Coturnix japonica: one gene and its partner. The protein of the gene in region 1 interacts with the protein of each later gene in a biochemical or structural test. Links are inferred from orthologs where the notes say so. Each region holds a gene or a part of one and is shown on either strand. Other genes may lie near its edges.

The links.
Region 2: the proteins of PTPRB (region 1) and CNTN1 form a complex in vitro, tested with the Homo sapiens proteins (2 studies listed by BioGRID). The link is inferred for Coturnix japonica from reciprocal best matches to the Homo sapiens genes PTPRB and CNTN1.

The regions. Positions count from the first base shown.
Region 1 is NC_029516.1:32,508,898-32,513,198, forward strand, and holds part of PTPRB (receptor-type tyrosine-protein phosphatase beta), read right to left. Parts: intron 4,012-4,301; coding exon 3,862-4,011; intron 2,819-3,861; coding exon 2,575-2,818; intron 1,814-2,574; coding exon 1,707-1,813; intron 1,179-1,706; coding exon 1,079-1,178; intron 1-1,078. UniProt on the Homo sapiens protein: Plays an important role in blood vessel remodeling and angiogenesis. Not necessary for the initial formation of blood vessels, but is essential for their maintenance and remodeling. Can induce dephosphorylation of TEK/TIE2, CDH5/VE-cadherin and KDR/VEGFR-2.
Region 2 is NC_029516.1:26,178,396-26,182,696, reverse strand, and holds part of CNTN1 (contactin-1), read right to left. Parts: intron 3,443-4,301; coding exon 3,330-3,442; intron 1,909-3,329; coding exon 1,752-1,908; intron 1-1,751. UniProt on the Homo sapiens protein: Contactins mediate cell surface interactions during nervous system development.

The DNA.
Region 1 (4,301 bases):
TTTGTGGCTCTGACCCTGTGGCATTGCTTTTAGCTCTGGCACGGTTTTCTTAAATTCCAGTAATGTGGGGTGCGTGCATGAGCACAGGCTGAAGGACCTGGTTCCTCATCTGAATTGGTACCAGCACAGACTATCATTAAGGAGGGCGTCTGTATGGGAGACTGGTAATCACAGCCTGAACCTCTGATTAATCAGCTGAGACAAGTGTCTGGTCAGCTGCAGGAGCACAGGTGAGGGTAATTCAGCTGTGCTTCCGGAAGGGGTGGAGCTTGACTCCACCTCTCCTAGAATTCATTTAAGGGCTGACCACCACTAAGGCAGCATTTTTTGGAGATTGCTTGTCTGTGGAGATTGTATAACCAGCCTCAGCATTTTCCACCCAGACTGAAGGCATCCATATTGGTGAGTTTTTCCTGTACATAACCTTTTGGATATCTATCACCATCCTTCTTGTATTATTGCCATCTTTTGTATTATTTCACCTTACAGCATCCTATTTCCTACCAGTAACGTTGCATCTCTTTCAATCATGCAAAATGGTTTCAACAGATAAAGCATTTTTCAAAGTTGAGACAATATTTTGCTTTTTAAAAATGTATTCAAAATTTGCTATTTAAAATTCATCTCTGAAGTGAAATACACAACAATAATCAACAGGAAACTGAAAAGCTTGAACTGATATTATGGACACAGAAGTAGTGTCATGCTAAAATTCCATGACGTTTTTGAACTGAAATAACAAAGTCTAAACGAACAGTTCCAAGAACTTCCCATATAAAATGGTTAGAAATATTTCATTTTTTTTACACAAGATACTGAGTTTGCATATTAAGCCATTTTTTTCAGAAACATTCAGACTCCTACTGAAAACAAGAAGTTGCAGGGATCCTTTATGAGATGATTCTTGCTAACATCAGTGGATATTTCAATCTCCTATAAAGAATATATTCAGCTCTCAATATTTATTAAGTCATTCATTTTATAGTTAGTGTGTACAGATATTCTTTCACTGCATTTCTTATATCAAAATAGTTTAACCTGATCTCATAACAGAGGCTGATAAAAGGACTCTACTTACCTAACTTTCTGTCTGCAGACAAACAAAGCAGTAACAGCCACTACCATCACAATGAGAAACAAACCAGCACTCACACCTTCAATAACTCCAAAGAGAGGCTCTAGAAACAAAACAGTGTTTTTACACATTTTGAAGAAAAGACATGAAGAATCAAAAAATCACCAGTGCCCAGAGAATATGTTACTACTATTAGCTAGAGGAAATGGTTAAATTAAAGGAAATTCAAAGTGTCTGAACAACTAAACTAGGCCTTGGTTTTCTGTCCTAATTTTTTCTAAATGTTATGCAAAACTTTTCATTCCCAACCACAGCAAAAGAAAGCACAGCTCCATCATGTAGGAATTCAGCTTTCTGGTATGTCAAAGCTTTCTTGACAACAGCATCACTGAGCATTCACCTTTTTCTCTGCTGTCAGCAGCTCTACCAAGCAGACCTTTTAATTTTCAATTTCATGGCCTATCCATGGCAAATAAGGGCCATGGATAAGCCATGGCTTCCGCATTATTTCAAAGCAGACTTCAGGACACTGCATGACAAATCCTTGCAAGCAGTTCTGGATACCAGAGCGTTTTGAGTTGCAATGTATAATCACTTGCTACAATGACTGAAAAGCAAGCTTGAAACTAACCTGCCTCCGTAGTGATTGGTAAAGAGAAGAAGGTGTCTGCAAAGAGTGGTTGAGGAAGTTCCTTTGGGTCTTCACTGAAGAGCTGGGTAAAAGCCCGTATACTGATCCTAAAAAAAAAATACCCAGTTCAGTTTACAGTTACTAGTTAAGTTTATCAGATGTTCAGAGTCAACTGTGGAAAAATAAGAGATTCAGATAAGAAATGACCCGTCTCTTAGAGATGATTAAAGACTTTCCATTGACAACAGACTGCCTGGCATGTGCCTTCTGTACATGTCACTGTCTGGTAAGCATCATGCAGATCTTTTGGCAGAGTGTTTGCCTGAAAGAAGGGTGAGACTGAGATGCACTGGAGTTCACATTTGTTTTCATAGCCTGTCCAACTGCTTGGTCTTGGCAGTAGTGCTCTTCTATATCCTACAGCTCACCCAGTCTTAGCTCTGGAGCCTCTGGACTGTGCCATGGATTACAACAACCTGCGCAATTTTCTACTTTGTCCCAAAGGACTTGTGTGAGTACATAGTGACAAATAAATTCTATGCAGCGTTCTTGCCTTCTCTTGTTATGTAATCTTCTGACTTAGATGACTTAGTGTTTCTAAAGAGGGATTTACTAACTATAGGAAAGGTCTTGACCAAAAGGAGATAAACAAACACACTATATGTAACTATTGGTATCATTCCCATGCTAATGAAAATATCGTTTCTATCCATGGAATGGAGCATGGATAAAGCTTTTATAAATTATGCCATGAAACACAAGGAACATTATACGGCCCAGTTATTTATCTTCAGAAGCTCAAGTGTGTCAGACACTCAGCACTGTGCCTAATAATGTGACAGAGCACAATTACCAACATTAATCTCACCTATAAGCAGTCCGAGGCTTCAAGGGTCCATCGCAGAATTTTTGCTGATCTGGATCACACTTTCCTCCCAGATTTTCCATTTCTCCTCCAAGCTTAATGTCAAAGCTTTTATAGTCGCTGTCAGGGTTTTCAGCACATCTACTAGCAAAATAATTGGTCTGGTAGATGCGTATGGAGTCATTGTGTTTGTACTCCAGGTAAGAAGGTAATGGGTGTTGCTCGTCGGGTTTTGGTCCTTCACTGCCTACATCATGTGCAGAGAAAGACAGAAGGTTTACATATCACAGCCATTAACACAATGCAGTATTAGAAATTCAGGGTGTTGATGGACCAAATCCTTATTATCCAACTTCTGAGGCTTTCCTGGAGGGAAGGCAAGTTAAAAAATATCCCACAAATTGACAAGAGTGGTCTACTGTATGCAGAGAAAAAATACATAGGAAATGACAGAAGTCTGCTGAAAGAGAACTAGCAATAGCATGCATAAAACTTAAGTAGGCCAAAGACTGGCAATGAGTAGTCAGTCCCTTTCTATGAGAGCTCTATAAACTGCTCAAGCACAACCAAGTAGACAGTGGAAATATTTCCTCTTTTTTTCTTTTTTTTTTTTTTTAACCTGAGGGCTGATCACAGAATCATAGAACAGACAGAGATCTTAAGAAACTTTATCAAGAATCATAAAATACCAGCATACTGACACATGAAGCTGCTTCTAAAGCCTGTATTAACTGTCAAGACATCAATCTGCATTGCCACATATAGGTCAACTACAGAAAAGGAGGCTTACGTACATACTGCAAGGACAATTTCTGCTCTGTTCTGCATGTAAAGTCATATTCTTCAGTAAGCAAACTCTACCTGAATCATGTTACTTTTTCCTTCTCTGCATGGCTTACTGGGGTTTTCCAAAAGCTGTCTTAGTGTTCCCCCTTACAACTGAACTACTTTTTGAGATCTGTGCAGAGCAAGGCAGGCTATTCTATGTCCTCCATCAATGGCATCTGTCAACCAACGTAAGTCTTCTGCTGTGGAAACTTTCTGATCTTACATGAGAGCATCTCCTAGAGCACAGAACCTAACTAACTACCGCTTCTGGCTAGGATCTGCAGATGCTACTTACCTTCTGAGAGGAGGACTGAATGCTTAAAATTCCAGGCTAAGGAGCCATAAACTTTCAGTGAAAGTCAGCAACTATATAAGAAGTTACTTTGCTGTGTAGTGATAGGGGTGTACATCTGCATGTAAATCATACAGGCTATAGAGAGAACGGTATTAAATGATACTTACCATCAGCCTCTCTGACAACCACAGTAAAGTACTTCACAGCTCCATTAGTATCACTAAACCAGCTGCAGTTAAAAGTAAAGTTAATGGAGGATTTGGTAATCAGCACCTCTTTCTTGTTTACTCGTATGTCTGGAGGTGGCTGAGGGGGACCTGAGAAATGAAACAAAAAAAGTAAAGAAAAAACAAGGAAAAGAGTTATCTATGTATTTGCTGTGAGCTATACCTAGCAAAGGAAAGGCAATTCTTAATAAAGTTCAGATGACTGGACCCAAGCCTCCATTCTATTCTCTTGCAGTCAAGAAAATGTCTTCACCTCCCACAGGGAAACTGCCAAAGGACGAAACAAGCCAATGGTGAGTCAACTGTAATCACAGTGGCAGCTCCTCAGTAGGAATTCCTGCAGAAACCCACTTGAAAATGCATTAAAGTCCTGCTAAATC
Region 2 (4,301 bases), about 6.3 Mb from region 1:
ATCTGAATTATATCCTAAATGAACACTGTTTATAATGGAAACTCAGTTACCTAACTTAGGTATATGAGGTAAATTAATTTGGATGTTATACCCAATGAACAGCATGAGGACATAAATCTGGAAGAAACACAGGTTTTTAAACATTCCTCTCTCTTCCATGCATCCTTCCAGTTTGCTTAGGATGTGTTCCATCCTGGTCATCATCCAGGCTATATTCAGTCCCTGTGCTTGCTGTTTCATTCTCCCCACTCACTTATACAAGAAATTAATTTAGTTTGTAAATTCTGGAACCAGATGCCTAAAGGCAATTGTCCTCTCTAAATTAAATAATATGCTTTACGCCTTGCTTTCCCTGTAGTTCACATCACTCTAAACATATAAATTCCATTCTGGCCAGCTGACCATCAAAACATTTGTTTCTAGGAAACCAAACCCCCTCTACAGGTTTCCAAGAAAAATCATCATCCCAGATAGCATGGGAACTTAAGGTCATTCAAACCAACTGTGTATAATCACAACCTTATATAAAATTACACACAAAGGAAATGCTACACAAATCAGGAAGGGATGCTGCATCCTGGAAATATAGGACTCTGGGAAGGATTTAAGGTTGTGGTTAGAAAAGAAGCTGAACACCATTTTATAGGACAAAAAAAAACAGGAAAAAAAGTTGTGATCAGTGACAGTGATTAATTAACTCTCATGATTCTCCACCTCTAGATTCCATTTTACCAAGCCTGGATTAGATGCATCATCCAAACAAGACTAGTGATAGTAGTGAGTTCACGTTAGGTGATTTAAACTGTCTATGTTATTGAAAAACAGCAGGTTAGAGATCCGTTCTTTTCAACAGGGGCACATTTTCATGAAGTACACTCACAATATAGCATAGGCAAAGCTTTTTAAAACGATGTAATAATGGTTGCATCGGTGGTGTGACAATAATATTGTTATGTTTAAACCTTACTATCCCCAAAGTTCATTTTTTAAGTAAAGAAAAAAATAAAATAATACAGCACATTTAAAACATAATCTTGCAAAAACACTGTCCGAGTCCCTGACTTCATTATATTTTTTGTTTTATACAAAGGGTGCAAAACTCGTAGGGAAAGGATGTACAGACCATGTCTAACCTTGTATTTAGAGTAAATAGTGAACATAAGTTGAATCAGCCTGGCCACCCTCTTTACCAATCATCCAAACCACTTTGAAGTTGAACATTTTGCATCTCTCACTGCTTTTTCATGTCTATGAAAAAGCTTTTCCTCTACCCTGGGAAGTGGAACTCACCTAACAATTGGTTCATGGACAACTTTTGTCTGAGTTGCCTTTTTACTTGTTGTGGCAGTTAAGAATGGAATGAGATGCCAAGGTACCAGATCGTAGGAACTACAGCATTACTGCAAGTTGATTTCTTCAGCCCTAGGCATGCACGTGCAGTTAAGCCTGCAGTAAACTATTGAAAGTGGCAGCATAACTGAGGGCACCTGTAGAAGCAGTGATGTCTGGAAGACTGACAGTGCTTCCAGGACTGAATTAGGCCACTGCTGAAGTGTCTTGTGTGCATTTTCAGCTTTAGGAAGACTCTAAGATAAACATTAATTATTAGTGCAGTCACTTCTGAAGAGCTAACTACCTCTCCAGTTTTGGGTGTGAATGGTGTGGACATCTCTGGGGAGCGCACAAGAAGAAAATGTTTACTCCAAAATTTCCAAGGAGTGTTGGAAGGAAGCAAGAAGTTATCTGCTCACCTGAAATTTTAATTTGAGCTACTTCTCCATCTCCTCCTTCACTGTGTGCTCGGACCTCAACAACATATTCACCATCACTGGGGACTGGGACCTCTATTGTGTGTTTTCCAGTTGAAAACAACTTGCCTTCATGTTGTCCATCAGGTCTATATAGCACCTAGGAAAGTCAGAGCAAACACTGTTATTAAAATCCCACATTTCCACAAACACACAGTTATATACGTACAGTGAGTGAATGAAAAGGTATTACAGAATCACAGAATGACCCGGGTTGGAAGGGACCTCAAGGATCATGTAGTTCCAACCCCCCTGCCTAGCAGGGCCACCAAACATACGCCTTTACTAGATCAGGTTGCCCAGAGCCCTGTCCAACCTGGTCTTGAACACCTCCAAGGACGGGGCATCCACAGCCTCCCTGGGCAGCCTGTTCCAGGACCTAACCACTCTCCTAGTAAAGAACTTCCCCCTAACATCGAACCTAAATCTTCCCTCTTTTAACTTAAAACCATTTCCCCGTGTCCTGCTATTATCAGCCCTTTCGAAGAGTTTACTCCCCTCCTGGGAGTAAGTTCCCTTCAGGTACTGAAAGGCTGCAATGAGGTCACCCCGCAACCTTCTTTTCTCCAGGCTGAACAAACCCAACTCCCTCAGCCTGTCCTCATAGGGGAGGTGCTCCAGCCCCCTGATCATCTTTGTGGCCCTCCTCTGGACCATTTCCAAAATCTCCATGCCTTTTTTGTACTGAGGGCTCCACACCTGGACACAGTACTCCAGATGGGGCCTCACAAGAGCAGAGTAGAGAGGGACAATCACCTCCCTATACCTGCTGACCACCCCTCTCCTGATGGAGCCCAGGATCCCATTTGCTTTCTGGGCTGCCAGAGCGCACTGCTGGCTCATGTTAAATTTCTCGTCTATCAGGACCCCTAGGTCTTTTTCTGCCGAGCTGCTCTCAAGGACAACTCCTCCCAGCCTGTACAGGTGCCTGGGGTTCTTCCGGCCCAAGTGCAAAACCTTGCACTTTGCCGTGTTGAACCTCATTAGGTTCACCCGAGCCCAGCTTTCCAGCCTGAGTATTAGCTTTATGCTTGTATATATCTCAAAACTTAGTTGCAGATACCATCTTTTACCTTTTTATCTAGGGTGAATCTAAATAACATGTTTCTTCATTGCTTTTTCTGTAGTATAGTTTACACCACCTTTTGAAGAATAATTTCAATTTTCTACATTCGGAATGAGTGTTTGAATGATGGAGGATAAGAACAGAGGGTGGCAAAAAATATTCAGTTTAGCCTATAGACTAAATATAATCATACTGGATATCAGGTTGCTACAGTCAGAGCAGATCTAAATGTTAACATAAAACGGCTCACTACCCACAATATTTTCTCATCATATTGACTAAGTCCATCAGCTCTGCCCTGTGTCTACTAGATGTTTGAGATCTCTGAGCCTGACATGTTCATTTTTAGCATGCAATTATATCTAAGCTCCATTAGGTACCAAAATGCATTTCAGTTTATAAAATACAGCTCATTTAGAATACACATTGATAAAACTTATTTTCACAGGTCATACTTTGTATCCTTCAACTGCGGACTCATTTGACATTGCCTTCACATGATCCCAGGTGATGATGTACCTTGAACCAGATCTTACAGAACTGATGATTCTTGGACGTTGGCTTGGAGCTGAAAAGCAACATATATATTAACATGGAAAGAACTGAGACTTCATAAAACTTCACTGACATTTTCATGGATATATAGAAACGTAATAAGGGAAATTAAATCCAATCTTCATAGAGGTAAGCAGCTCCCTTCCTTGAACCAAGTGCTGCAGCTTCAGCCAGACAATTTGTGTATGGCTTTGCAGTGGCTGCTTTGTGGGTTTGCCCTTCTGTGCTGTCAGAATGGAAGTGACCAAAATTACCCTTTACTATGCTGCTGACCATGTGTGTTCGCTGGCATGCAAATACCTTCAGTGCTTCCCTGAAATGTGGCTTAAGTCATATTTATTCATTGAAATTTAATATTTAATTAACCATTTAAAGGCAATTCTAAAGCACTTAACTCAGTAGTAATCAAAGCACCCTGTTGCAGAAACTGTTGATCGTATTTCACACAATAATTGTATAAAATATATTATAATTCAGCACAACCCTGCAGATCTAAGTTGCCCAGTACACTATGTGCTGACAGAAATCCTCAAACTAGTTGTACACATTTTTAGTGCACATAAGTGTGTTTTAAATACACAAGATATATTTCTTAATTGAACATTGCTAAGAATGTTCAGAGAGACCTGGAACATCGTGTCCTGCTTTGGGTCCCCCAGTACAAGAAAGACACTGATAATGTGCAGTGAGATTAACACAAGGCCACTGACCTTGTAGGGAGCTGGAGTACTGCCCTTTGAAAAGGTGAGAACGACAGGCTTGTGCATTCTCAAGATGAGGTTGCTTTCTTAGGAGCAACTTATGAGCAGCCTGTCTGTGTTTATCAATAAGATGGAGTGAGGTTCTCTAAAGTGGTGCATGGCAGGAGGGAT